3 linked regions of the Caenorhabditis elegans genome follow. The protein of the gene in region 2 interacts with the protein of the main gene of each other region in a pairwise test. Each region holds a gene or a part of one and is shown on either strand. Other genes may lie near its edges.

Region 1 (9,598 bases), on a different chromosome or scaffold from region 2:
GATTGCCATTTCTGGAATACTCTTTGAAGAAATTTACCAATTTTTCTTTTAACACAGATTTTCTTGAATGACTATTCTATTCTATTTACAAAAAGTGTTAATTTTTTCGGAATTAGTTTCTTATAGCAGATTTCTTTGAACTTCATCAGTGTATTAAACCCAAAAAACAGTAAAATTTTCCTTCAAAGTATTTTGAAATCTTCAAAGGTTATCTGATCTTAAAATTATTGCCTATTGGTGTTACTCGCACAGCTGTTCGACTTTTTGTAGCGGAAGTGCGGACGAGCTATGGGAGCAAGGACAAACACAGAGCACACGGCGGCCGGAGCAGCCGGAGCACCCCCACTTTTTTGTTTGCTCGAATGCCTTGTGTCAAAAACTTTGGAGGATTTTCCATCTTTCCTCAGAGAGATGACTTTAGCTGTCTATCAGATGATGGCGACCTTAGATATCCCGATTTATAAGAATACTGAGACTTTTCTTCAACATCGTTAAACCTCAAAAAACATCCATTTGCGGTAGCAACTAATACGTAGTTGCTTCTGTTTTCCTCCGTTCGACCAGTTCTCTTTTTCTCTCTTTCCCAAATGTCCATTCTATTCTCTCACTTTTTGTCCACACGTGGCCGAACGTTGTAAGGGTTTAGTGTGTTCACAGGCGGCATTATACGTTTTTTCCTACGATTCATAATTTTTGTTGAATATCCTGAACAATTTTCTAAACCTTTAATATTTTCAGATCATCAGAAATCAATGGATTTGTCTGAGGATCAAATTCGCGGACTACCGCACCATGAGCTTCTTGGTCATTTCTTGCAAATGCGCGAAGAGTTTAACGAGTTCCAGACAAGTTCCGCGGAAATTGAGAAAATGATGGATTCAGAATTGGATGATTTGAAAACACAACTGAAAAAAGCAGAAACCAGAGTACAGCAGATGACCACAGAGCAAATTAGGAACAAGGTTGGTACTATTTTTTACATTAAAATTGAAAAAAAAAACTTTATAAAATTTTTCAACTATAATTTGAATTTTGTGAATTTTAAAGGATCGACAGGACGATTCCCGTGTACAATTTGCACAAGTCGAAGAGCAATTAAGACGAGAAAACTCACATCTTCATGAACAATGTGAAAGTCAGAGAGAAAGAATTCGAAAACTGGAACAGAGAAACGATGTGCTCGAAACATCAGAAAGAAATAAGGAATATCTAGCATCTGATCTCGGATCGAAACTGGATCATGCTATTGAAAAGATAGCAATGTTGGAAAGTGAGCTTTATGAACGGCAAGTTGCTGCTGAAGAAATGCATAGATTACGAGAAGAACAACTTCGAACAACAGAACGGCCACGTTTGATTGTAGAACCATTGAGGAATGATCCAGAAATTCTGCCGGACGAGCCATCCCCAGGTCCAAGTAAAGAAGAGTTTAAAATGAGTAAGTATTTGTCGCATTTTGAGAATGAAAATAACTAGTACTATTTAAGGCTCGGAAGATGTTTTCATGGAAGACGTGCAGCACCACGAAGATGTTCGAATGGAGGAAACTATTGCAAAAATTGACGAAGTGCGCATCGATGACAATAAAAATATTCAAGAAAAAGTACGTAAATTTTCTTTTTTTGGTGGATTTTTGAAAGTAAATATCCAAATATTAATTCAAAGAAGACCTGCAAATTTCGATCAATTAATAGCTTCACACCTTATTTCGGAATGAAAAACATTTAGTCGAAAAACTCTTGCAGCGAGTTCTAATTCTTTTTTCCCTCACAACTATAAACGATAGCATCTCTAGATGCAGAATAGACCGAAAAAACAATATTTGCTAACCCATTTATAGTTCTCAGCCAACATTTACATAGCTTTCAGAGCCAACGAGTATCTACCGGTACGGGCGCCGGTGCTTGCATCAATCGAATCGTCAAAGACCTGATGACAAAAGTCGAGCGGCTCGATTCAATTTTATCGACGATTCGCGTGAGCAACAACTCGTCTAACAACAATTCCAGTCATCTTACAACGACACGGGCTTAACATTTCATTTTTTGGTTTTTCTCACCTTTCTCGCATACTGTGACTTTTCATTCACTCAGGGATCCTCCATTTCATCATTTCCTTCGTTTCTTTCCGTTATTATTCTTTTCCATGACATCCTGTATCATGCTTATGTTTTATTCCCACCCAATTGGTATTAGACCCCGATTTTATTTGCCCCGCCTTACTGTTGCTCAATATAAGTTCCACGTTCGCCATTCACCCACATTATTTTCCAAATTTCTAAAGTGCCTACATATTTCTAATTTTTCTGTTAAAAATTTATATATCCGTCACCATGAATAGTTAGTAAAGGAATGATTTCAAGAAAAAGTGAGCAAAATAAATAAATAAATACAATTTGAATTAATCTTTCTAGCAATTTTTGGAGACAGAGAACGCCAGCATTCGTCCTATCACCGAGTTGTCACAACAGCACTCAATCGATTTTTCTGAAACTGTCAGAATACAAACATCCTTTCGTGAACGTGTCTGGCAAGTGAAAATGGTCAAATCCGAAGAAAATGCGTTAACAAATAGAGCAATTGACGAAGGATTAATGGGATTTTCGAGTTGTATCACATGCCGATTGAGACCTCCAAGACGACTTCTTTCTTTTGAAATATCTTCTGGAGACAGACGAATTGGTTGAACTTGCTCACCATATGGGACCTAGAATTTAGGAAAAAATTTAGTTTATCTTTAAAAGATGCGGATTGTGGAATCTAGTCAGGAATTATACAAGTTTTGATATAAAATATTAACCATCAAGGGAGTATTTACGTTTTTCAATTTTTTTTGTGGAAAAAATAATTTTAAAAGCCTCTGAAACTATTTAAAAGATTACCTCAAATCTGAAATGCTTCTCATGACCATCATCTCTTGTAAGTATCCATTCTCTACTTGTCGCACTATCTCCAAAATCTACGAGCAAATCAACAGAAACTCGTGCTCCAGACGGAATATCTCCAATAATCGAGTTTCCCTTCACATCGAGACCTTCTTCAGTTTTTAATTCAACTCCTAACAAATCTCCATCGGTTTTGTTTGTGATTCCAAATCGAATAGCCGTGTATTGTCCATCATTAATACGCGGATAACTAATTGATAATATTAGCCCGTTTCCTTCAATTACATTCAAAAGTTCAATTTCTTTTTCTTCGATATGAGTTGCATCCATTATTTGACGACTTCCCGCGGCCGAGAAATCAACGTCAATCAGCAAATCGAGATCATTTCTTTCTGTTTTTGGCTTACCATTCATTGGTTCTGAATTTTTTTGAATATTAAGAATCAAATACGGTTAGGGGTACTGTAGCCACGAATAATACCGTAACTCTACAGATCTGTACTTCAAACACTTTTCATGTTTTGCATATATACCTTACCAAATGTGGTTAATGGGGTTTTTTAAAGTTTACAATAAATCCAAGATAGAGTTATTTCTTGGTATTTTCACGAATTTGTTTGTTTTGGTCCGAGATTTTACAGGAATATTCTTTTGTGCTACCCTAAAATCGGTTTTGATTGAAACTCACTTGATTTATTGAGAATGAGTGCTTGTTTCTTAGTAGATGGTTTTGGGTTAGGCTTCTCCTCTGGCTCACTATCATCCTCTTCTTCCTCCTCTTCATCTTCTTCATCAGATTCCTCTTCACTTTCTTCATCCTCATCATCTTCCTCTTCTTCTTCTGATTCATTTTCTTCCTCTTCCTCATCTTCTTCATCTTCATCCTCCTCTTCTTCATCTTCGTCTTCTTCTTCATCTTCATCATCATCATCTTCTTCTTCGTCACTATCATCCAATTTCAATTCATTCGGTGCATGTGCTTCTTTTCTTAATAACGAATCACTTGATGTTGCTGGGAATTCGGGTAGATCAATGTATTTCGTACATCTTTGATTCAACACATGTGACAGAGATCCCAATTGGAATTTATCACGTTCCTTGAAACTACTAATAAGCTCTGGTGCTGGCTTTTTCGACATGAAAATCTCTTCCATATGCTGTGAAAGAATCTCCGTATTGAACATTAGATTCCGTAAAAATCGGCATCGATCACGAACGTCATAACTGAGATCGAATCGGGCAAGTTGGAATACGTATTGTACAATCTTTTCAGAGTCATCACGCTTCACAAGCCACAACTTCACTGCAAGTTTCAGAGCTTCTAGTTTAACCAGCTCATTTTCCGTCGAAAATTTCTTTGCAATAAGCCTCAAAAAGTCTGGAGCCATGTGTAGAACTTGTTCGACATGGGTGGCGACGAGCCAAATGACACAAGCTCGCGCTTGTGCTGCAATCATATTCGGCATGAGCCTCATAAGCCTTGAAAGAAGATTCAGAGGGGCAGAAGCATGCAAAAGTCTCTTGATGACAACTACAGCAGAGCATACGACTTTCTCATCGGAAGAAGAAATCAATTGGACAAGTCCAGTCATACATTGATCTGATACTGCTCCGACGCGAACTGCACATCTTCCAATTGCCTCAACAGCTGGAGAAGCTAAATCAGACATATGAACATAGGTCTGAAAAATGAAAAAGAATTTCATATGAAAATTTATTACCCTCTCTCACCTGTAACTCTCTCAAAATGATATGAACATTCGCTTCTGAAACCAAACTTGTGAGCACATGAAGTTTTAGTTTCTTAACGAGAGAACTGTCACAGGATCGTACGAAGAATGATTTTAGGAACGGGTCGAACATCGTCTGAGAGTGAAAAAAATTGATTTTTGATATGTAAAAGTTCCATCAAAAGACAAGTACACTGAAACACAACCAAGCAGCACTCCAATTCACTGGTAAAAATATCTGGATTGTCTCATTTGTCAAAACCAAGAATTCTATGTATTTACTTATGAGCAAAAACATCACAGTGCACTTCAATTGAGCAACAATATCGTTCAAAAAGCTAGATATCTCATTTTAAAAGAATTTCAGACAATCCAGATTAAGACAACACAAAAACGGGGAAAGTGACTCTAAGACTGAGACGCTAACCACTGCTATCACAAATTTATCATTTTGTGAAATTAATTCAAAAACTGATAAATGTATAACAGTTTCTTCTAGATTTGTCTCAGTCTTTACATGCTTTTCATGCTATTTTCTCAGTTGCGTTCAGCGCACTTTTGAGATGGCGTAAGTTCCTTCCTCTACCGGATTTCGTTCGCATATTGTTGCAATGTTGGTGAGAACTACGTATTGGGTCTCCCGTGGACCACGTAGAAGTCGGACAAGTGCACGGGCGATCTGGAAATAAGAGTTTTTATTTTTACTTTACTAACTTTTCAGTTGAAATTTCTGAAGCCATATTTTTTTCCGCTTGACTTACCTGAGAGAGTTGAGCTTTCGGCGCAACATGATAAAATAATTGTACGACTGCCATGACAACTGAACAATTTCTTGATTGAAGTAGAGGACGAGCTGAGTTGAGAAGAAGTACAACATCCGTATCGGGTGGTCCTCTATCTGGATCCGCCAATTCATGTCTTGCATATCTAGTCAACATGTTGATCATCACAATTTGACCCCATTCGTCGACATCTGCCAAACCACGACATAATGCTCTGAAGTGTTTATGAAGAAGATCGAGTCGGTGTGGACAGATCTCATCAAATGCGTAAACAGCACTACCGAGTACTAAACTTCTTCGATCAGCGAGAAGAAAATCTATGCAATCGACAAGCTGAGGTTCGAGTTCAGGTTCCAGTGAGTATAGTTTTGGTATGGCATGTGCAGCAACTTTCCTCACGTATGGACTCATATCACGTACTGCATCTTTGATGGCTAAAAGCATGATTGGTGCGACCATCGGAACACGGATTGATGTTAAAACTCGGAGAGCACTTCCACGAATCAGTTGATTCGGATCTTTGAGAGCCCGTTGGAAAGTTGATATCGAGAGAAGTGCAAGATCTTGTTGTTCTTCGGCATATCGTACAAGATAAACAAATACCAACTTTTTCAGCTCCACATTTTTTGCTGCTACGTTCTTCACAACTGCAGCAAATAGTTCACTGACATCTTTTCCTTTCGCTATCAGCTGAAATTTCAAGTTTAGATAATTATAATTTATTGGAAATAAAATCTCACGTTAATTATTCGTTTCATTGCATCAACTTTTAGGTTATCTTTATTACTATCCAGCATGGCTTTTAGGTCAGCGAATCGTCTGAAAGTAGATATATTCGAAAAATGTTACGTACAGTTATACCTAAAATGTAACTGTTGAAATTTTTTAAAAAATAAGTATTTTTATTAGTCTTAAGTTAACAAAAAAACCTACGTCCTATTATCCAAGATGACTCCGCCCTCAGCAATTTCCATTTCAGGGCTGGTCAACCCTTCGACGAACGACGTCATCTGAAAATAAAATAACCTTATTTTTAAAAAAGAGAAAAAAATGTAATAAAATATTTGCAGTGTCGGAATGAACACATAATTCCAAAATAAAGCCAAAGGGATTTTAAAATAAATTTAAAATTTGTTAAAAGGTTTTATTCCACCAGTGAAAAAGAGATTTAATATGAATGAGAGGATCACGTTAAAGACCAGATTTTGAGATAATGTATTTTAAAGATAAAATGTTCAAATAATAGCAGGCAAGATGACAGTTATTGCCCGAAGCAACCAAATCCAAGAAGAAGATTTCGACGAGTGAAATGGAGTCCGATTACTGCAGTTTCTTTTGTTGCATATGATCCTATATTGAAACCGTCCAGATTCACTCTGAAATTTTGTAAAAATTGATTGAAAAAAGCTTGTAGGAGTTTTCGAGAAACTATATATTATGAGGACTTAGAAAAGACATTCTGAAGTGGAAACGCGCTCCACTGCCGAATAAATACGCCCCGCCCCCAAGCCATAGGTCTCATTAGGTATTTGGCGACAAAACCGTAAATTCGAAAGTTTTTAGTATTGCCGATTTCTCCGATCTTCAAGCATTTGTCCTGTTTTTAAGTGGTTTAAAAAAATGTTATGGCTAATTTGATGAATAAAATTTATACTTTCTTCTTTCTCGTAAGGGGATTTTTCTGCGTTTTCATAATATTTGTACCTGTATATTTCTCCAAGTATTTTGTTCCTAATTAAAACTTACTTTGGCTCAATGTAGGAATCATTTTGTCCAGCGGCGAGAACTGTTCCAATAAGAGTATCAAGTGAATATAATTGAATACTTGAATTTCCATGGGATACCGCAAATACACCACCATCACGAGAGAATGTAATTGAACCCTGAAATGAACTAGTAATATGATATTATCATTTTTATATTTCACTACCTTCGTTCCAGCTTGTTCCGTAATTTCAGCTGCAACTAATCTCTGGTATGCCAAATCCCAAATCATCAGATTTCCAATAGCATCTAACGAGACGATATACCGACCACATGGGGAGAACTTGACAGCGATAATCGAAGCTTTATGACCACTAAAAATGCGAACTCGAGTACCAGAACAAACATCCCATACTCGAACATATCTATCATCTGATCCTCCAGCAATATAATTACAATTTGGATGATAATCAATACATCCAACGTCTCCATATGGATCAGCGAATATTCTAAGTGGATGCATTCGATCTGTCGACCACATTGCAGCTGTTTTATCGGCACTTGCTGTAGCGAAATAGTATCCACGACTACAGAATTGAGCCTGTAATAGTTTTCAGATTAGATAATGTAGAACGTTGCGCTGAAACTTTATGAGACAGTTTTTTTATTAGTTAAATTCGATAATTTCGGATAATGATCTATTATTTGAAATAAGATTACCAACGACACTAAATATCTCAGTTAAAATGCTAGTTAAAATTATATAAATACAAACCTGCCAAACTACTGCTGGTGTTCTATAAATAACAGCATTCCTCTGAGTCTCCATACTCCAAAGTCGAACTGTTCGATCTCCGGCAGATGATATAAGAAGTCGTCGATCCGGTGAAAAATTGACAGAAAACACGGGACCACCGTGGCCTGTATACCTCACACTTGTCGTTGATCCTTGTAAATCAAACATTTGTGATTGCACGTTATCCGCAGTTTCAATATCGATTTTATCAAGAAATTCCATATCACGAAGCTTCTTCATCTTATTCATCGGATCCATTGCATTCATAACAATTGAAGAATCAGATAAACCCATTGCAATAAGACTTGAATCATCCGTAAAATCACATGAAGCCACTCCAATTGGTGCATTTACTGTTGTGTACATACAAATGGAAACGGGTGATTCAGCTGAAATGATGGCCATTTTTCCGACGTCTCGAAGCCAATTTCGTCGTTCCTCTCGAAGATGTTCGCTGATTGGTGGAAGAGGAATTCGGTCAGCTTGTGGGCAATGCTGGAAATAACAAGATATATACAAAGAACTATGAAAATTACAGAACAAAGGGAGAGGGACTCAAAAAACACACTAAAAAATTTTAATCGTCACAGCTACACCCTCAACCATTTAAATTTTGACTGTATTTTTCAGTGTATTTTTGCATTATTTTCAGGCCATTAGAGTTGCTCCAAAAGATACTTTTGAATATTTTTGAAGACTTCAAAAGAGTTTAGGTGTAGCCAAACATTATTTTTGGAAATTTATTCAGAAAAAAATCAACTGTTTTAAAATTAGATTTTTCAACATAACATGCCGATTAAAATGTTACAGCGATATGTTATCAGCAAAGGTGTTCATTTTTCGATTTTTCACAAAAAACAATAACGAAAATATTACGTTTTTCGGTTTTTGGGAAATCGAAAAATCTAATGATTTTGTTTTTGATTTTTTGAAAATTAGCTTAAAATATTGACAATTTTTTTCTCTTTTTTAGAAAACAATTATATATGTTCTTATGTTTTTTTTCATTAACATAAACAAAATTTGATAAACATTTTTAAAATTTCAGGGTAAGATGAAAATCTTTCCTTGTCAGTACAAAAAAATTCAAAAAAATTGTTTAAAAATCTTACCGTCTGCATTTTCTTTCCCATATCTTTCCAATCTTTTCCTTTTGTCTTCCGTTTTTCAATATTCTGCATCAATTCGTCTTTTAACACCGAAAACATCATTTTATGTCTTTTATCACTTTTCGAAGTTACTCCAAGAATTCCACCCATTTGGGTTTCTATTGTCGTTCGATTTGTGGATACTTCGTCAGCATCTTTAACGGATATTATTATATTTTTTTTGTATATAAAAATGAATACTTACTTTCAATACAAATATGTTTTGCAATTATATTCTTAACACCAATCACTCTCGTTTGAATTGATTCAAGATGTTTCAGTGTTGGCCTCGAAAGTCGAACAAGAAATTTATTTTCTCGTAAAATGTGAACATGTTCATTGGCTCGTAACGTCATTGCATCTTCGATTAGTGATAATTGATATACAAATTCCGAGAAACATTCAGGAATGAAAATCTTGAATCGATTGAAGAATATACGGGCAGTTGCGGCATGCTTTTCAATTAAAGCTATATAGCTGTGTGCAAATATAGGAAATAAAAGTTGACTGAATTCCGCTTGAACAACATCTGTACAATCGTTTGCGTGCTGGAC
Region 2 (8,221 bases):
TATCAAAAAAGTTTCACAGTTCATATATTTGATTCCATTGATTTTTTTGCCAGCGCCTTTATTATAATTTGTAGCTTCTAAGAATTATTGGTTTTCTGAATAAAAAAATTAACAGCAAACTAACAACTTTCCAAATACACTTTTTAGTTCTCCTATAAACATCTGGAAAGAGAAAAATTTGAGTTTCGAAATTTTGAACAGAAAATATGTGTTGTGATAATAAATGTCTTTTGTTAGTTTCTAAATTTATTGTTCTCATTTTTGAAGAAAAATAAACGATGTTAAAAATATTACAATCTACTTACTAAACTCGGGGCTAATGAGATCAAGCCAGAAATTTCAAATGATTTTATCTGTAATTCATTTTTTCGTTGGCCTATTTTTTTAATTTAAAAGTTTTTGCATTTTTGCAGTTCAAATATCCATTCTCAGAAGAAAATTTCAAATCTTATATTCTTTAAAGCATCTTTTTTTTTCGGTTTCAGCAATGTTTATTGTATACTTAACAGTGAGTTTGTAAAACTAATCACTTTAAACATGTTTATCCGAAATTCCAAAAAATTACTGTTTCAATAAACTTGTATCAATCATAGAAAATTGACTTTCTATTGTTCCATTGTATCAAATTCAAACGACTTCTTTATTAATTTTTTTTTTGTAATTTAGCAACACAATCATATAAAAATTTGACTTTTTTTATGTAATTCCGTAAGATAAAAGTAATTCCAAATATGGAAAAGTTGAATGAGAAAGTTTTTCTTGAAATTTCAAGAATTTTAAAAAACTTGAATTTTTTTCGGTAAACGCCATGTAGGCTGGCTATTCTACCTACGTACGCCTACAAAAAATTGATTACCTGTAGGGAGTAGTATATTTCAATTCCTGATCCCTTCCTCCAAACTTTCCCAGTGTTTGCCACTATCCCTGTTTTCTCAAAAACCCTAAAAATATATATACTCATTTTCCACCTCAATCATTGTTTCCACTAATAATTTTACACTCTTTTCCATCTCATTGACGTCTTTCAGTTGTTGGTTTTTTCATGCTTCTCCTCCTCACCAATTGCCACTTCATCCTCCCATACATCTCAACTTTCTTGATTATTTTTCGCCCCAGAAAACCGCCGATTCATCATAAAAATCACACCCGAAAGCTCTTTTCCAACTAAACCAACTGCTCGTTTCACAATAATTCGAGAGAGTGATAGAGACCGGAGAGACGCACAGAAACACCAGGATTTTTGATTTTGTGACGGAAATAGATAGAATTTGGGGGTTCTTATGGTCATATTCGAAACATTTACAATACTTTGGAAAAGGATAAATCTAGACTAATCAAGGTTATAAAGTCTTCGAATATTTAAAAGTTTCATAAAACAGAAATTTCATTTTTTGAATTTTCCCAAGAATACTGGAAATTGATTGAGTTCTAACCGCAAAAAGTTGGTCAAGTGTTTTAATAAAGTCGTCTGGAAAATATTCTGCTAAATCTAACGATTTTTTCTAGTTATCATCCATTTTTAGCAAATTTTCAGATAGCTTGAAAAAATTTACAACAAGTTGATTTAGGGGAAACTTAAGAAAATTAATATTTTGAGAATTTAACAGCTTTTGGATAAATCACCAAAAATGAAAGAATAAATTGTTTGAACGATGATACCATGATGTTAATAAATGCGATTATCTCTACGATGTTTGAAAATTATATGAAACAGTAAAATAATTGCTAACATTTTCAATTTTTTACACTTTCTCATAATTGATGCTGCTTCTGTTTCTGTGTTTAACGCTACCAATGTAAAACATAATACAAAATAAAATTTCAGTGTAGGCACCACACAAAAGATAGACTACTGCCAATTTACAGGTTAGTAGTTTTGTTTTCTTTTATTATTTGAATTTTGAATTGATTTTTTTTTAATCGTAGATCTGATTCGAATAATCTGCACCCGAATCTATTCTACAATGGAGAAAATGGAAGAAAATATGGTATTTAATGCTCTCATGGAAACAGAATTTTTAACTATTTTGTTGGGAAAACTTGAAAAATTAAGAAAAAAAAATTACAGTTTCATATAACTTTCAAACTTTGTAGAGATAACTGCATCTATTTCATACGCCAATGGTTTGTACTAGTTAAAATAATTGTTGCTTTAAATTTATATTTCACTTTTGTTTCGAACGCCGGATGACGTTTAAAACTTCTAGACCATCAAAGTATGTATATTTCCGCCATAAATTAAAAAATCCTGCATAAGAAAGCCAGGCGCGGCCAGCTTGAAGGTAGGCAGGCACTCAGAATTTGCCTTCGTGAGATAGTCCTTCTAAAAATCCGTGCTATCGCGGGAATATAAATTTTGATAAGAAAATTTGAAAAAAAAATTTCAAATTTTTTACAGTTTCATCTATCTTATATATATTGTAACGATACTCGTATTTATTAGTATAATCTTTATTTTTATCGCGGCTGGACCTCACTATCAGATTATAAACTGAAATTTTATCGCAACCAGTGTCATAATACAAACTATGTGAAAACAGGTGACACCACTCCCGTTCACCCATTAACCTCTCCCAATTTTACAACATCTATCAACTGGAGAATCTATGAGCCATAAAGTAAACTAATGCGTAAGTAAAATATTCTGTTTACACATGTCAACAGTTTAATAAAGCAACAACATATATTTTCGTTCTGATTGACATTTGACATTAAGGTATACCTGTGGGGGAATGTACGGGGGGTCCATCAAAAAGAGAATACCGCTCCCCCCCCCCCCTCCAGGTACGTCGTCATCATCATTGACTCAGGAAACGTTACAACAATATCATTTGGCGGCAAAAATCATCGGACCTAGTCATCCGTGGTGTGAATGGGTGATGATTGGAGAAGAGGGGAAAGAGGTGAGCACACACACAAAAAAACAACAGAAGAAGAAGAAGAAGCAACTGGTGGTGGTGGTGAAAAGAGTTCTGGCGAGAATTGGGATTAAGTGGCGGCACGTGTGTCTTTGGAGATGGGACACCTTCTCAAAGGTTCAATGATGTATGAGTGAGTGGGAAACGGAAGAAATTGGAGAAAGGGACTAACTGAAGTAAGGTAGAGAATGCCTGCCTGTTTCTGTGCCTACTTATAGTTTTATGATGAGTCGCAAGACCTAGATACTGTCGGCTGCTAGTGAACTCATGTTTGATTTTATGAAAGAGCAAAATAAAAATGGATATTCAAAAGGCAGGTAGACGTTAGGCAAATTAAAACGCCTGCCTGCCATCAATGAAAGCGCTAGAGTATATTATGACTGCTTGATCAAATTTTTCTTGAAATGTTAATTTTTAGAAATATTGACTAAACTTTAATTTGTTAACTTTTCCGTTATATTCCCAATTTTAAGGAGAGGTGTGATTGATAACGTTTCATAGATCAGACTTTATTAAAATTGTGAAAATGTATAGAATCTCTGCAAAATTCACGTGATTTTTAAATGTTACAACCAAAGATAATTTTGAGGTAAGTTTTAAAGTAACGTTATTGTTTCAAGAAATGTTTTTATAAAAAAACACAGAAGGCAGTCTGCAAAGCGAGAGAGTCTGCCTCCTCGTCGGAGGGAATTTTTACTTTGGGAAAACAGTTCAGAATTTTTTGCAAAACTATATAAACATTTTATAAATGTTTTTTTAACAAACGCAATCACATCACAAGGAAATTTAAAATACTTATACAATTTCTGAAACAGTAATTTTTTTCAAATTTTTTAAATGTTCAAACCGTGGCCATACAGATACCAAAAGTAAAACAAATCTAGTATTTACTGACAAATCATCAAAAAAAAGTGTCATAGCTCCTTGAAACTAACACCAAACAATTCACTGACCCCTCTTAATACTTCCTAATATTTACCCCCGTTACCCCCTGCCGGGGGCACCCATTGGCATATTTTCTAAACAAAGAAAAGATAGTCCTTAACTTTTTTATAAGTAGGATAAAATAAGAGGGATTAATTCAAAAATCAGAAACTCACTTGATTTGTAGTCCAAGAAATAATCGCTGTATGCTGCATCTCCATTGGAATCTGAACTCACATCGGGCGTGTCGTCCTCCATCTGTAGAATTTCAAATTTTCAAATTAAAAGGAAAAACTGATGGAAAGAATAAAAATCAAAATGAAAAAATTGTGGAGGTCCCGTGAAGAAATAAAAAAGGTTTTTGTGAGCACGGAAGACATGTGAACAAGAGGAAGAGAGAGCGGCGATTCTTGTAATAAAAACCAGATGTTAAAGAAAGGATAAAGGTCCGAAAAATACAAATTGGACAACCAACCAGACCACAGACAGAGTTCAATGTTTTCTAGATTTGGGTTGGAAAAAATAGTGAACTTTTCTGTCTGTAAACTTAGTAATTATAGATTTTTTTCACTTTCTAAACTGATTTTTTTTCAATGATCCAAAATTATTTCTTATTTAAAAAATGGAACGAAAAACCACAGAACATCAAAACTTATTTGAAATTACATTTTGAAAAAAAACATGGTGAAACAGTCAACTTTTTAATTTAATTACAATATAGGGGTTACAATTGTTGACATACGACTATGGTCTTGAAGTTGCATTAAATAAAGTGAATCTACTGAAACAGACAAATAAATTTTATAAATTTCAACTATCTAGAAAAAAGTTTTAGATAACTTTTTCGTGATGTTTCGTGCTGATATGTAAACTCCTTGCTGCTCAAAAAACTGTAAAAATCTGTTTGCAATGTTATTACACTTCACCTACAGAGACATTTTTGTATTTTCTCATAGAAAACTTATTTGACTTTTTTACAATCATAGAACACTCAAGAATTTGTTTTCGGATTAAATACAAAGGTATCATACGAGGCAATGTCGGAGAAAAATCTGAATTTAAAAGAAGCCTTACTGAAACTGTAACAATATTTTGTGCTTCAAGAAACTAAATTCTCAAACAAATAGGAGGTTATTGGAATTTTAAACGAACTTAAAAAAAGGGAGTTGATTTTTTTTCTTCAATTTGCACACTTTGGTTTAGTTTGAATATAATCAGGATACAGAAAAAATTGATTTTGATGAAAAAAAATCATCCAGAGAAAATTTGATCCAGTAAAAACATGTTTCATAGTTTTGATGAATTTTATATAATTTCACAGTTGTATTAGAATTGGAATAATACCCGTTCAATTATTGAAGAATTTTGAATTTGATAAATATTCAGACCAACTTTTTCTTACATGGAACTCATAAGCTTTATTGTCTCAATAACAATAATGGATTCAATAAAACAAAAATACTCTTAATTCACAAAAGATCCAATTGAAACTGTAAAAAAAATGTGTGCTTCATCTTCAGTGATTGAATTCTGAAGGAATAGAAAATAGTGGAAATTAAGACAACAAAGCATGGAATCTGAAAAAATGGAAAATTTTTCTAAAAACATTTTTTAGAGATCATTATATGGGGAGTGGTAATTTGAATTCCATTGTTACGCAGATTCTAGAAAAGTCGTCTTTGAAAATACTTACTATTCACTAGAGATGTTAGCTAGAGAACAATTTTTTCTGTAAAAGCCTGTTTCATTATTTTGATAAATAAACCATGATTTTTGAAATGTTAGTGACATCTGAACATTTCTTTTTTAAAAAAATTACTGTTTCAAAGTCAAATGTTATAATTTTATTAAACTTTCAATGTTAATCGTCCTATGTGTCAAGCAGAGCAAGATTATGTGAGAAATTGTGAGAAAATATAATATTTGAGCAAGTGAATGAAAAGAGTACCGCCTAACTCAAAAACTTGAAATTAACATAATAAAGAGAAATTCTCGTGGTAAAGGCGGGAGATTCCCTGAAGGGTTACTGTAGGTTTTCATGGGTTGGAAGGAAAAACTACAAATTTGAATAATAGGTGTCTTAAAAATTATTTGAGAGGTTTGAACAAAAACATTTGACAAAATAAAAAAAAACAAGATAAGATAACAAATATTTGGACTACTGTTTTGCACTTGTTTCAAAAAAAATAATACAAGAAAGTTTTCGCTTCTATTTTGTCAAGTTTTGCAGATTTGAAAATACAATGAATATAAAGAAAAAAAATGTAATCAAGAAAAGCATAGCAGTAACAATGGTATATCGGAAGTTAGGCTGATATTTGAAAGCATTGTAAAACTGCAATAATTGATTTTTCAAGTAGAAAACAAAAAGTTAAATTTTGAATTGAAAAAATGATTCAAACATTTTTATTGGTAACGTACTTACACGCTTGTATAAACTTAAAATTAATACTTGAGCAGATATAAAATATATTTTTTTTAAATATAATTTGAAAAGGTATCAGAAAATTAAAAAGAAATTTAAATTGAATTGTATTCTTTTGATTTTTGAAATCGGTGTATTAGGGTTTATTAAGATTTTAAAGAAAATTGGTCTAACAGGTCAAAAAGTACATAAAAACATTTAACTCCGAAAATAAAAAAAAATTATTTTCAAAATGTTGAAATTCGAAAATTTAGCCGCTTCACACAGTTTTAATATTCTTTTAATTTTTTTGGCAAATAATTTAGGAATAATTTTAGGGATAATTTAGGAAAGGGAAAATGATCTCACAATTAAATTCATAACGGCGAATATAAAAATAGCAAAACTATGAAATAAAACTGCAACAGAGAAAAAAAACACGAATTTCTTTCAAATAAAATTGTCCCCCCAAAAAAAAGAGACAACAAGTGATTCGATTTCCCATCAAATTTTCAGTAGTACTCACACCCTTCTTTTTTCTATTTTTTCTACAACACTACTATATAAACTGTCTCCTTAAATTTGATATCTCTTAAAATAAAGCAATTTCAGCACGCTTGTCTGCCAAATTGGTCATTAAGTTGGCAAGTTATTATGGAACATAAAATGTTTCAAAAGAGCGTTTCCAATTTCTTATCACTAGATGGTGGTAGGAAGATGCATATAATTTCCAGTTATCAGTTAATCAGTAACGTAAATATCTAACACAGCACTGCTAATTTCGGAGAAAACAAGAAATAGAAAACATGAAACAGCAATTTTTTTTTGAAAAAAAGTTTCACATAAAAAAGGAATGAAACTGAAAACATAAACAAACAAATTTCGACCGATTTTTCTTGTTATTTTCCACAAATCTTTAGAAAATGTCAATCTTTTGTGGGACTCTCCATCTCACTCTCTTATCACCTGGGATCACTTCTTCAGGCTCCGCCTCCATCAGCTTTCATCTTCACAGGTGAGTTCTTCTTGGCTCCAGGTGATGAGATACAAAATATAAAAAAGAAGAAGATTGGAACAAATGGTTAGAAAAATGTTTGGGTTGTAAATAACTCAAGAGTTTGTGACAGATTTTTAGTTGAAATTTAGAATTCATAAAACCCTGTGCTTTGCAAATAATACAGAAATTGAAGGAAAAAAATTGTGGAAGAAAACGATGGAATTAGTTTCAAAATTCTAGATTTATAATTCTCAAAATCAAATGACGCAATAATAATAGTACTAGTTTGCTCAATTATTTTGAAGAAAATTTGAAACAGTAAAACATTTTTCCAAAAGTTTTCAGAGTTTTGTAAAACGTAGAGATTTAAGGTTCTTGTGTATTATCGGAACGAAATTTTAAATCAAATTTTTAAATATTTTAAACATAGCACCGAGTGAAGTTTTTTGTTTTCTATTTTTAGGCTTCCTTAAGCTTACACAGATAAGCTGCATGTTTCATCAAAACATATTTTATTAAAATGGAGAAAGAACTTAGATTTAGCTTAATTTTAATTTGCGTTCCGATAATACACAAGTACCGAAAATCCTTAGCCTACAAGGTGGCCTACAAATGCCTCATGACTACACGCGTGCCTAATGCCAAAATATAGAAGAAAACCTCAAGAAAGATACAAAAATTAGAAATTGTGAACAAAAAACTGAAACGAGTTGAAATTTGTTTCAACTTCCTCAATAAATATTAATAAACCGGGACCGATTCACCAATTAATCATAATATAATGCTCAATCATTTTTTAAAAAACTTGAAACGGTAAAAAAAACTTCTTTCAAAATTTTTGGAATTTGGTAAAACATAGACATTAAAGGCACATGTAACCGATTATTACCCACATCATTAATAAATTCAGGCCGAAAATCCAAAGCCGAATTTTTAGCTCGTAGCAATTTGACTCCTATAAACCATGCTTTAAACTCA
Region 3 (8,202 bases), on a different chromosome or scaffold from region 2:
ATTGTTTTCTGTAAGTATTTCAACTTTTTGACTCCTTTTGAGCATATTTTGACAAAACCCCCCACTGAAGTTTCTTCACCATTTGTTGAGTGACCCTGCAGAGTACGGACAGTACTAAATGTTTTTTCTAAACAACTACAAATGGGATTCATAATTCAAAATCTTTCTACGATTCATGCTACTTACGAAATTCATGTGATGTCAGAGTGTACCATCTCGGCTTGAAATCTGAATTCAAAAATCTTATTTTTGATTTTTTGTGCTACTCATTCACAGCTTCCCTCGTCCTAAAACTTGAACATGATAAATATGACTAGGAAATCTGCAGGAAACACTGAGTATATCTAGAACCTTCTCTCATTTTCCTTTCACTTTCTAATTTTCCCGGTCCTTTCCGCCCATCTATCTCTTCCAAAATGTGCACCATGCACAACCACAGATGAAAATCCGTTTAGCGCGGGAGAAAAGGAGAAGCCTTTTCGAATACTTTTCTGGGTGGCCTTCCCATTTTCTCTTTCAAAATTTCTTCCAGTAAAATCTCATAAAGGGATTACTGTACTATTGAAAGTGACAACTATGTATAAACTAATCCCTTGAAAATCATGACATTTTGATCTTTTGATGAGAGTCTACTTTAGAGTCAAGGGGATCCTTTTTTCAACGAACTTTGCTTGTAGTTCAAAAAACGCTGTCATCAATATTCTGTTGCTTCTTTGACTCTTTTCTACTTTTACAAAACATCTTCTTCTCTGCCTCACACGAACTTCTCCTTCTTCACCACAATTTTATTGCATTTTGACACGGAATGCACATTTATTCCCTTCTATCAATTGTAAACAAAATCGAATTTTTTGAGCAGAAAATTGCAACACTTCTTAAAAATGCCTTTGAGTTGTTTTGTGTTTTCGTTTTTTGAAAAGCACCGGAAGAAAACACGAAAATGCGTTGTCGGAGGTCAAATTGAATTGTTGCTTTGTTGTTGGAAGTGCACGTACATTGTGGTGGTCCGAAAAGTTTTCTCGTCTATTTTTTGATGCTTCACAGGGCTTTATAGTTTTAAAGTTTTTTTTTTGAAATTCAGATATGTATCTTTTCATTTTTTGATGATCCATGATACGCAAAGTAAAGGTTTTCAAAAACTTGAAAAAAAATAATACCATCATTTTTTGACTGTTGACCATTCCCTACTTATGATGTTTAGTCGCAAAAGCTCAAAATCTAAAAAGCCAAAAGGGTCTGAAAGTGGCCTATATTCACTATCAAAAAATTGAGTACATACATAATGTAGTGCAACTTCAACAGTGACATCAATTTCAAATCGATCACAGAATTCTAGCATAGTTTAAAAACCGGTGCCTCGAAGTAACCGGTGCATCGAAGAATATGCAAATCAACGTTTCGGCAGCTGATGTTTATGATAAAACTGTTATTCCTGCACACAGTGTCGACAAAATATAGTCATCATTTTGTAGTCAATTTCTTCCTACAATATATATCTAGAGAATTTCAAACTTGAGCAAATTTTTCTAGACAAGAAAACGGACTTTTTTGTGTACCCACTCCTATTTTTTTAATGAAAAAAAACTGAAAAAACTGAAAAAACTATAAAACCTAAAATTAGACTAATTTCCTATAAATAGTACTCGAAGACTAGGAATATTGTTAATACAACTCCATTTCTCATCAAATGACACTTATCCATCTCCTATCGGTCATTTTTCTTTGGTTCGTTCTAAAACCTTCCGGTGGTCTCTTCCAACCTTCTTCTCGTTAATGATCTTCTTCTTGTTTCCGTTGCCTCAAAGCTCCAGAACTGCCCTCTTCAATGCCTTTTCTCCATCTTTTTTCCCTTTACTTCGTCTTCTTCCATTGCCTCTCCCGGCTTCACAAAATTAATTTCTTGCGCTCATCGTCCTCTTCCCACCGCCCGTCTTCGTCCTTCCGTCTGACGTCCCGTCTTTGGAAGACTCGTCAAACTGGTAGCAAAGAGCTCATGAGCTCTCCATCCGTTTCTCATTTTACTTTGTGATAGAAGAGGGGCGTGGGTACACCAAAAAAAGATGTGTTTTTGAATCATGTTGCGAAATTTGTTCGTTATCTGATTACGGCTGCAAGAGGAAGAAAACCAACATCGAAAGGCCGTGAGGTCCAATGGGTCTTTTTGTTGACGAGAGGATTCCTCTGTTTTCTTTTTTGGTATAGATTTCTTACCTAGATGAACAATTTACGTCCTACTGTATTTGTAATAGAAAATATAACATGGATTTCTATGTTTTTTTAAGTTTGAAAAATCATAAAATAAGTAACCAAAAGTGTATTTGAGACTTCAAGCATAGTCTGCTCAAGCTGTTATTTGAATCTCTTAAAGTCTTAAATTCAGAAAGAGATATCAAAGTTAGGGGAAAATAAATTTGAATTTGAATTATTCCAAATTTAGATATTTTTAAATGTTTTTATTCTCGTTCAATTTAATGTGCATTCAATTTGTATTGCCGTAAATATTGTAAGGATGAGCCAGCCATCCATATTTTCGAAAAAAGTGGGATCTTTGTTTAATTGCCAATTGGTCTGGGTATAAAAAAGCGTTATATGTGGTTTTTTGTTCAGAATTTCATAAAAATAATATGGGTAAAACTTTCCAAAAATTCAAACCATAGGTATGACCAAGGAAAGTGTAGGCACGTAGGCGTAGGTCTCCTTGTGGGTATCGTAAATTGAAAATATAAAGAATAGGTAGATTATTTTTTTTGAAAAAAAACGCTTTGAATTTTTCCAAATTGAGAACTATCCAACTTTTTAAATATTCCCAAAATCTCAAGTATAAACAATCTTCCTCAAAACTTTCTTATCGTCATTCATCTGAAATCTCGAGTGATGGAACATTGTGCAATAGATTTGTTGAGGAGATACATACAAGAAGACACAAATTATGCAAGTGGTTTGTGTTGTAGAAAGAGACGAATTGAAGAAAATGGGGAGCATGAGAGGGAAAGAGAGGCCCCCGGATTGCACCACCAGACCTCCCAAAATCGCGCAATTTGATGCTAATACATAGCTTTTGAAAATTGGTGGTGGGGGCGGAGGACATTGGTCAAGAGATGGACATCGTATTTTATTACCACAACTATTCACAACTCATTCTTTCTTTTCATTTTACTTTATTTTTTCTTATACTTTTTACAAGAAAAAATGACAAAGAAATTCGAACTGACATAAGAGAGTCATCATTTTTGACAACTCTTTTTTCTTCTATTTCCGTTATTTTTTTCTAAATCGGCTTCTTCATCTCTCTTGAACAATTATTTCGCTGCTCTTTTCTCGGTCTCTCCCCCACTAAAAACTCTATTTTGTTTATTTCGTCTCACTCTTTTTTTTGTTAAAATTATGATTTTTTGAAGGAATGAGCGACTCAAGCGCATCCCCATTACGCTCACCAGAGGATGAGGAGCTACTCGCAAAATCATCGAGAATACGATTATGGGTTACAAAGAGAATGAAAGAGGTGAGTGATTGTTTGGTAGGGAAAATGTATGTTAATCTGATTATAAAGTTGAAAAAAAAAGGAAAATCGAGTGACTACCAACGTTCAGTTCAATCTCTATTTTTTCAAGATAAACTTCTCATGAGGACTTGTTTCTATCCTTAGAAAATCGTTTCAAAAATGTGTTATATTTGTTAACAAATTTTTGGATATTTGCCGTTTCATTTTTGATAAAAATCGATCTTGAAGTAATTAAAAATTGAGCCCAACACGGTTTTTTTTATTTTCGTCCCTATAACTCTCTGTTTATTTATGATCTTTTGCTCTCTTTCAGCACTTAAAGGGTTACTCCACCTCTGCAAATTGCGGTAAAACGTGTTTTTGATAATTTGACGACAGATTTTCTACATGAAATAAATTACAAAATTATTGTGATTTCAAACTCTGAAAACCACGCCTTCTAGAGTTCAAAAAAGGACATACTGCCTACTAGTGTTTAGGTCAGACAATAATAAAATTTCATTAAAAAATTAGTGAATAGTACAGCCACTCTAAAACTTTTGAGACTTAGAAATATGGTATAGCATTCCTTTCAATTCGATTTTTATAGTTTCCAAAATCATTAAAAAATATAACATTGATACCTAAATATCATTGAATACTTACTTCTCATTGTTACATTTGTTTTTTAGAATGGGAAAGGTACAAAAACAGGGATGTGCAGTGGTCAACAAGTAGTCATATTAAATGAACAATATTAGTCCTTATTAGTTATTCCGTGTGTATGCCAACTCATTTTGTGTTCTCTCCTCTCCTCTTCTACACCTATTCAAATGATAATCTATATACGTGTGTTCGCCCTGTTCATTTAACATTCGGAAACATTTTCCTGGTAGTTGTGCTTTTAGTTTAGTTTTTAAAAAAATGTTAAGAAAAATTTTGAATTTCCGGATTAGCCCAGCATATTTTGCGTCCTAGAAAAAACAGAAAACGCGGGAAGTGTAGCTAACCTTTCTAAAAATGGGATTTTACAGACCTGATAACTTACGATAGACTTTAAAACTTTCTAACAACTTCAAAACGACTGAGATGCCAAATATAGAATTAAACTTTTGTTAGAAAACTATCTTTATTATTTTCAAATCTAGTATACATCCTAACCATGTGTTCCCTTTTTCATTCAATCTGTTTTTTTCTTCAAACAATACTTGCTCCCACCAAATCTGCACTAACGACATAACACATTTTGAGTCCAAAAATTATGAGCATGAGCACAAACATTGTAGATGCCAACATGTTGGTTCCCCCAAGATATCAGGTTACCTTCCTGACAACATTTCTTGACGTCTCCCTTCCGACATCGTTTTCTTCTTGTTCTTCTTCATCCGGTGGTCCAACCCAGTCTGAATACCTTTTTTCTTCTACAAATTCTTACTTTTCTGGGTAGTTGACTCCGAGAGTTTGGAAGAAGACAAAGCTTTGAAATTTGCATAATGAATGAGTGACGGCTGGTTGATTTTTGAGTTTAGAACGAAGAATAGAGCACTCTGAACCTCTGACTGAATTCCCTTGAGTTTGAGTTTTCGAACGGGAAGAAGCCCATTTGTTAACTGCGTTGAGTCTTTCTACTTTTAAGAATTTCTGCTTTCAAATGGAGTAGATATTCTGAGAATATTGAACAATTTTAGAGAACAGAATTTTGAGAATAGTTACTATTTTCAGAAACTGCTTAATATTTATTTTAGATAATTTTGTTTAAAAAGGATCTATCCATTTTGCTTTCTCAGTTTCAAGAATTTACCTGCTAATTTAGTTTTTCACATTCAAATTTTTGGCGCCTTGATACCACCCACAAAGTATCATTGTTCGTTGTGAAATGTCCTCCAAAAACCTACACTCTGATTCCACATTAATCTTCATTGACACCTTGTTCCATGATCACTAATGAATATTTCGTACTACACAATTTTCTATTCATCCACTAATTCCTTGGATCCGCTTTTGCTGCTACTCGGAGATGATTACGGTTATTAAATGAGAAGCTAAACAGTTGTAAATGATGGAAGAAACTGGTTTAGTCCAGTACTAGTACATCTTTAACTCACTCGTATAGTTGTTTCTCTTCATTCTCACTCGTTTGTAATTCTGAATTTTCAATTTGGAAATTTATTTTTCTATGGTGGGTGAGGCATTTTGTGTGTGTTTGAATACAGGATGAGAAGTTCATTTTTCTGTTGTTTCACGTCATTTCAGAGTAAACGATTTGGTTTTATAGGTATTAAAAACACTTTTAACCAGACTTATTTCCAAATATGATAACATCTGTGCTGAAGCAGTTCAATATCCACACCTATTATTTATTGAAATTGAGAATAGCTGTCTTCTTCATAAACTTAACGATTTAAAAATTAAAGGAATAGTCGGAATTTTTTTTGAACAGTTTCAAATTTTATGACCTTCAGCAGAAATCAGTTCCATTTGTTTCAAAACTTTGAACTTGGTTTTCTATTGAAGTATTAAAGAATCTTGAGAGCTTTTACACGTGTTCAAATATTTTTTTTCAATGTTTTTCCTTTTCTCTCTCGCTTCGTTTTTTTGTTTGAAAAATCGTTTTTTAAAGTTGTTTCCAAAACCTTTAAATTTAAAAATTGACAAATTTCCGCAATTTATCATTTGGAACCAAACGGATCAGCAAAAAAAAATTTAGAACTACTATTCGAAATGCATGCATTTGTGTGCCAGGCTTCCCAAATTCACAAGTATACGCCACCACAAATCTCTCTTTTTTGGGCTTTTCCGTCCCGTTTTACGCTGTCCTATGGCATGTCAGTAAACCTCGGTAGTGCAGCTCGTTTTGGAAACTCTAGAAGACGTCGTATATACTCCTTCTCAACCACTTCAATCAAAAGTGTGTTCGTTTTCACTGTGAAATCATCTCAGATTTCTTTAAAATTTTCATCACTTTTTCCTCAATTTTCTTTACTTTCGTATTTTACTCCAATTTAATAGAATCTTCGAGTTGCGCAGCTCCAAGTACCCAACTTGCCCATAAAACTGTGAGTAGTGGAGTCTGAGAGCCTGGCACACATCTGCTGAACACCTTTTCACAAAATGGGAGAAAGTGTCTACAACAGGTGCTTTTTTTCACTCGGGTTCACTTTCATTTTCACCACTTTTCCATTTTATTTTTGAAACTGTACAGTAGGTGGGAATAAGGAAAAAAGAAAAAAAATTGGGAAAATTCCGTAGAAATTCGGATTTGTCTCCGCCTCATTAATCAAATTTTTGTTGCCGTTTCATTCGTCACAACGTCGAAAAACGACTTCAGATTTAGAAGGGTGTTCTTTCTCATTCTTCAAACGTGTTCCATTTGCAGTTGGCTTTTAGACCTATTTCACTTGAACATTTTTTTCAAAAAAATAGGGTAGAAGCTTTATGAAAAAGTTTTAATTCATATTTGTACATTTGATCAGAAATAAAATCAAGAACGCTGTTGTGATGTTGTAGAATCATTTTAAAAAATCTGAAATAACCCCGAAGTTGATAGTTTAAAAGATGAAGTACCAATGGGCTTAAAAATTAAATTTAAAACAATTTTAAAATGGTTTTTTGTGGTTTCCAGTCACAGTGAGATTCTTTTTGCAATTTCCGTAGATTTGAACCTTCACGATGTTCTAGATGAAAAAACGAAATTTTACAATTCGCGGAAACTTCCTTTGAACGACTTCCAAAATAGTGAGTTGTGTAAAAGTTGCCAACTGTCACTTTTTGACTGTAAATTTTTTTATAAAATTGAATTGTTTAACTGTAGTCTTTGGTCAGTAACTTTGAGGAGTTTCCCCACTGGCACTACTCAATTTCTTCAAAATACCATTGAGAGGTTCCAGAACTGTTTTAACACACTATTTTTCGTTGCAATCTATTCCTATTTCAGTTTTCTTTGCTTTTTCACAACTTTCTAACACCTTATCAAATGCTATTTTATCATTGACAATCTGTCAATTAAGTGCGATAACATCTGTTTCCGGTGTGACGTGATTCTGTCTCCACTCTATGAATCCAATTACTTTCTCATCTAAATCTCGTTTCTCGCGCACTTTCAAGTGTTCTCCTCCTCCTTCTTCTTCCTTCACTCATCCGTCATATTCAATACTCTTATTCTCATTAATTTCGCAATTACTATGCAGTTGTGAATATAGGCTTCTTCCATGGCGAAGCTCTTCTCTCTGTTTGCAACGTCCGATCATTTTGCTCTCTTTTTCGTTTTCTTATGCATTTCAAATAGAGTAGCGTAGTCTCAAACATCTCTAGAGAGATGAAATGCAACATTTTATTGGTTCCGAAAACGGCTAGCACTGCTTTTTTCCTTTTCTTTTTTGGTCAACTTGTTTTGCAAAAAGCCAAATTTGTAGAGTGCTCATAAACCATTTTTCTAGGGTTTTCAGAAATTTTGACTACAGTTGTCATTTTGTGAAAAATTGCAAAGAAGTGCAAAACAATGTGTTTATTGCTGGCTTTTTTGGTTCATCTGTGAGCCAAAATTTTGTTTTTTTTTTGCACCACCTGTTTGAAAAGAATTGAAGTGCCAGTGCCAGTAGGAGTTTATCAATATAATATTTAATGAACAAAGAAAAATACGGTAGAATGACACTGGAACTCAATTCGGTGTTATTACTGTGTGACAAGACTGCCTAGCCCTCCAACCAAGAATTTGACCACAT

What was found. Proteins that work in one complex are often made in the same cells at the same time.
Region 1: the proteins of unc-5 (region 2) and apb-3 interact in a two-hybrid assay, tested with the Caenorhabditis elegans proteins (one study listed by BioGRID).
Region 3: the proteins of unc-5 (region 2) and max-1 interact in a two-hybrid assay, tested with the Caenorhabditis elegans proteins (one study listed by BioGRID).

Annotation. Positions count from the first base shown.
Region 1 is NC_003279.8:7,850,558-7,860,155, reverse strand, and holds apb-3 (AP-3 complex subunit beta), read right to left. Parts: upstream 6,407-9,598; coding exon 6,330-6,406; intron 6,216-6,329; coding exon 6,137-6,215; intron 6,087-6,136; coding exon 5,376-6,086; intron 5,294-5,375; coding exon 5,171-5,293; intron 4,751-5,170; coding exon 4,616-4,750; intron 4,567-4,615; coding exon 3,573-4,566; intron 3,304-3,572; coding exon 2,882-3,303; intron 2,707-2,881; coding exon 2,410-2,706; 3' UTR 2,303-2,409; downstream 1-2,302. Other genes in the region: Protein nud-2, read left to right, coding at 753-962, 1,048-1,438, 1,488-1,603, 1,870-2,034; taf-5 (Transcription initiation factor TFIID subunit 5), read right to left, coding at 6,658-6,772, 7,143-7,279, 7,327-7,701, 7,876-8,391, 9,009-9,199, 9,250-9,598.
Region 2 is NC_003282.8:5,524,239-5,532,459, forward strand, and holds the start of unc-5 (Netrin receptor unc-5), read right to left. Parts: upstream 4,101-8,221; coding exon 4,019-4,100; intron 3,688-4,018; exon of another isoform or gene 3,667-3,687; intron 3,403-3,666; exon of another isoform or gene 3,382-3,402; intron 2,465-3,381; exon of another isoform or gene 2,444-2,464; intron 2,132-2,443; exon of another isoform or gene 2,111-2,131; intron 1,670-2,110; exon of another isoform or gene 1,649-1,669; intron 634-1,648; exon of another isoform or gene 610-633; intron 548-609; exon of another isoform or gene 527-547; intron 55-526; exon of another isoform or gene 33-54; intron 1-32. UniProt on the Caenorhabditis elegans protein: Receptor for netrin (unc-6) required for axon guidance. Mediates axon repulsion of neuronal growth cones in the developing nervous system upon ligand binding.
Region 3 is NC_003283.11:13,105,534-13,113,735, reverse strand, and holds the start of max-1 (PH domain-containing protein), read left to right. Parts: upstream 1-3,400; coding exon 3,401-3,502; intron 3,503-6,363; exon of another isoform or gene 6,364-6,635; intron 6,636-6,780; exon of another isoform or gene 6,781-6,928; intron 6,929-7,665; exon of another isoform or gene 7,666-7,880; intron 7,881-8,202.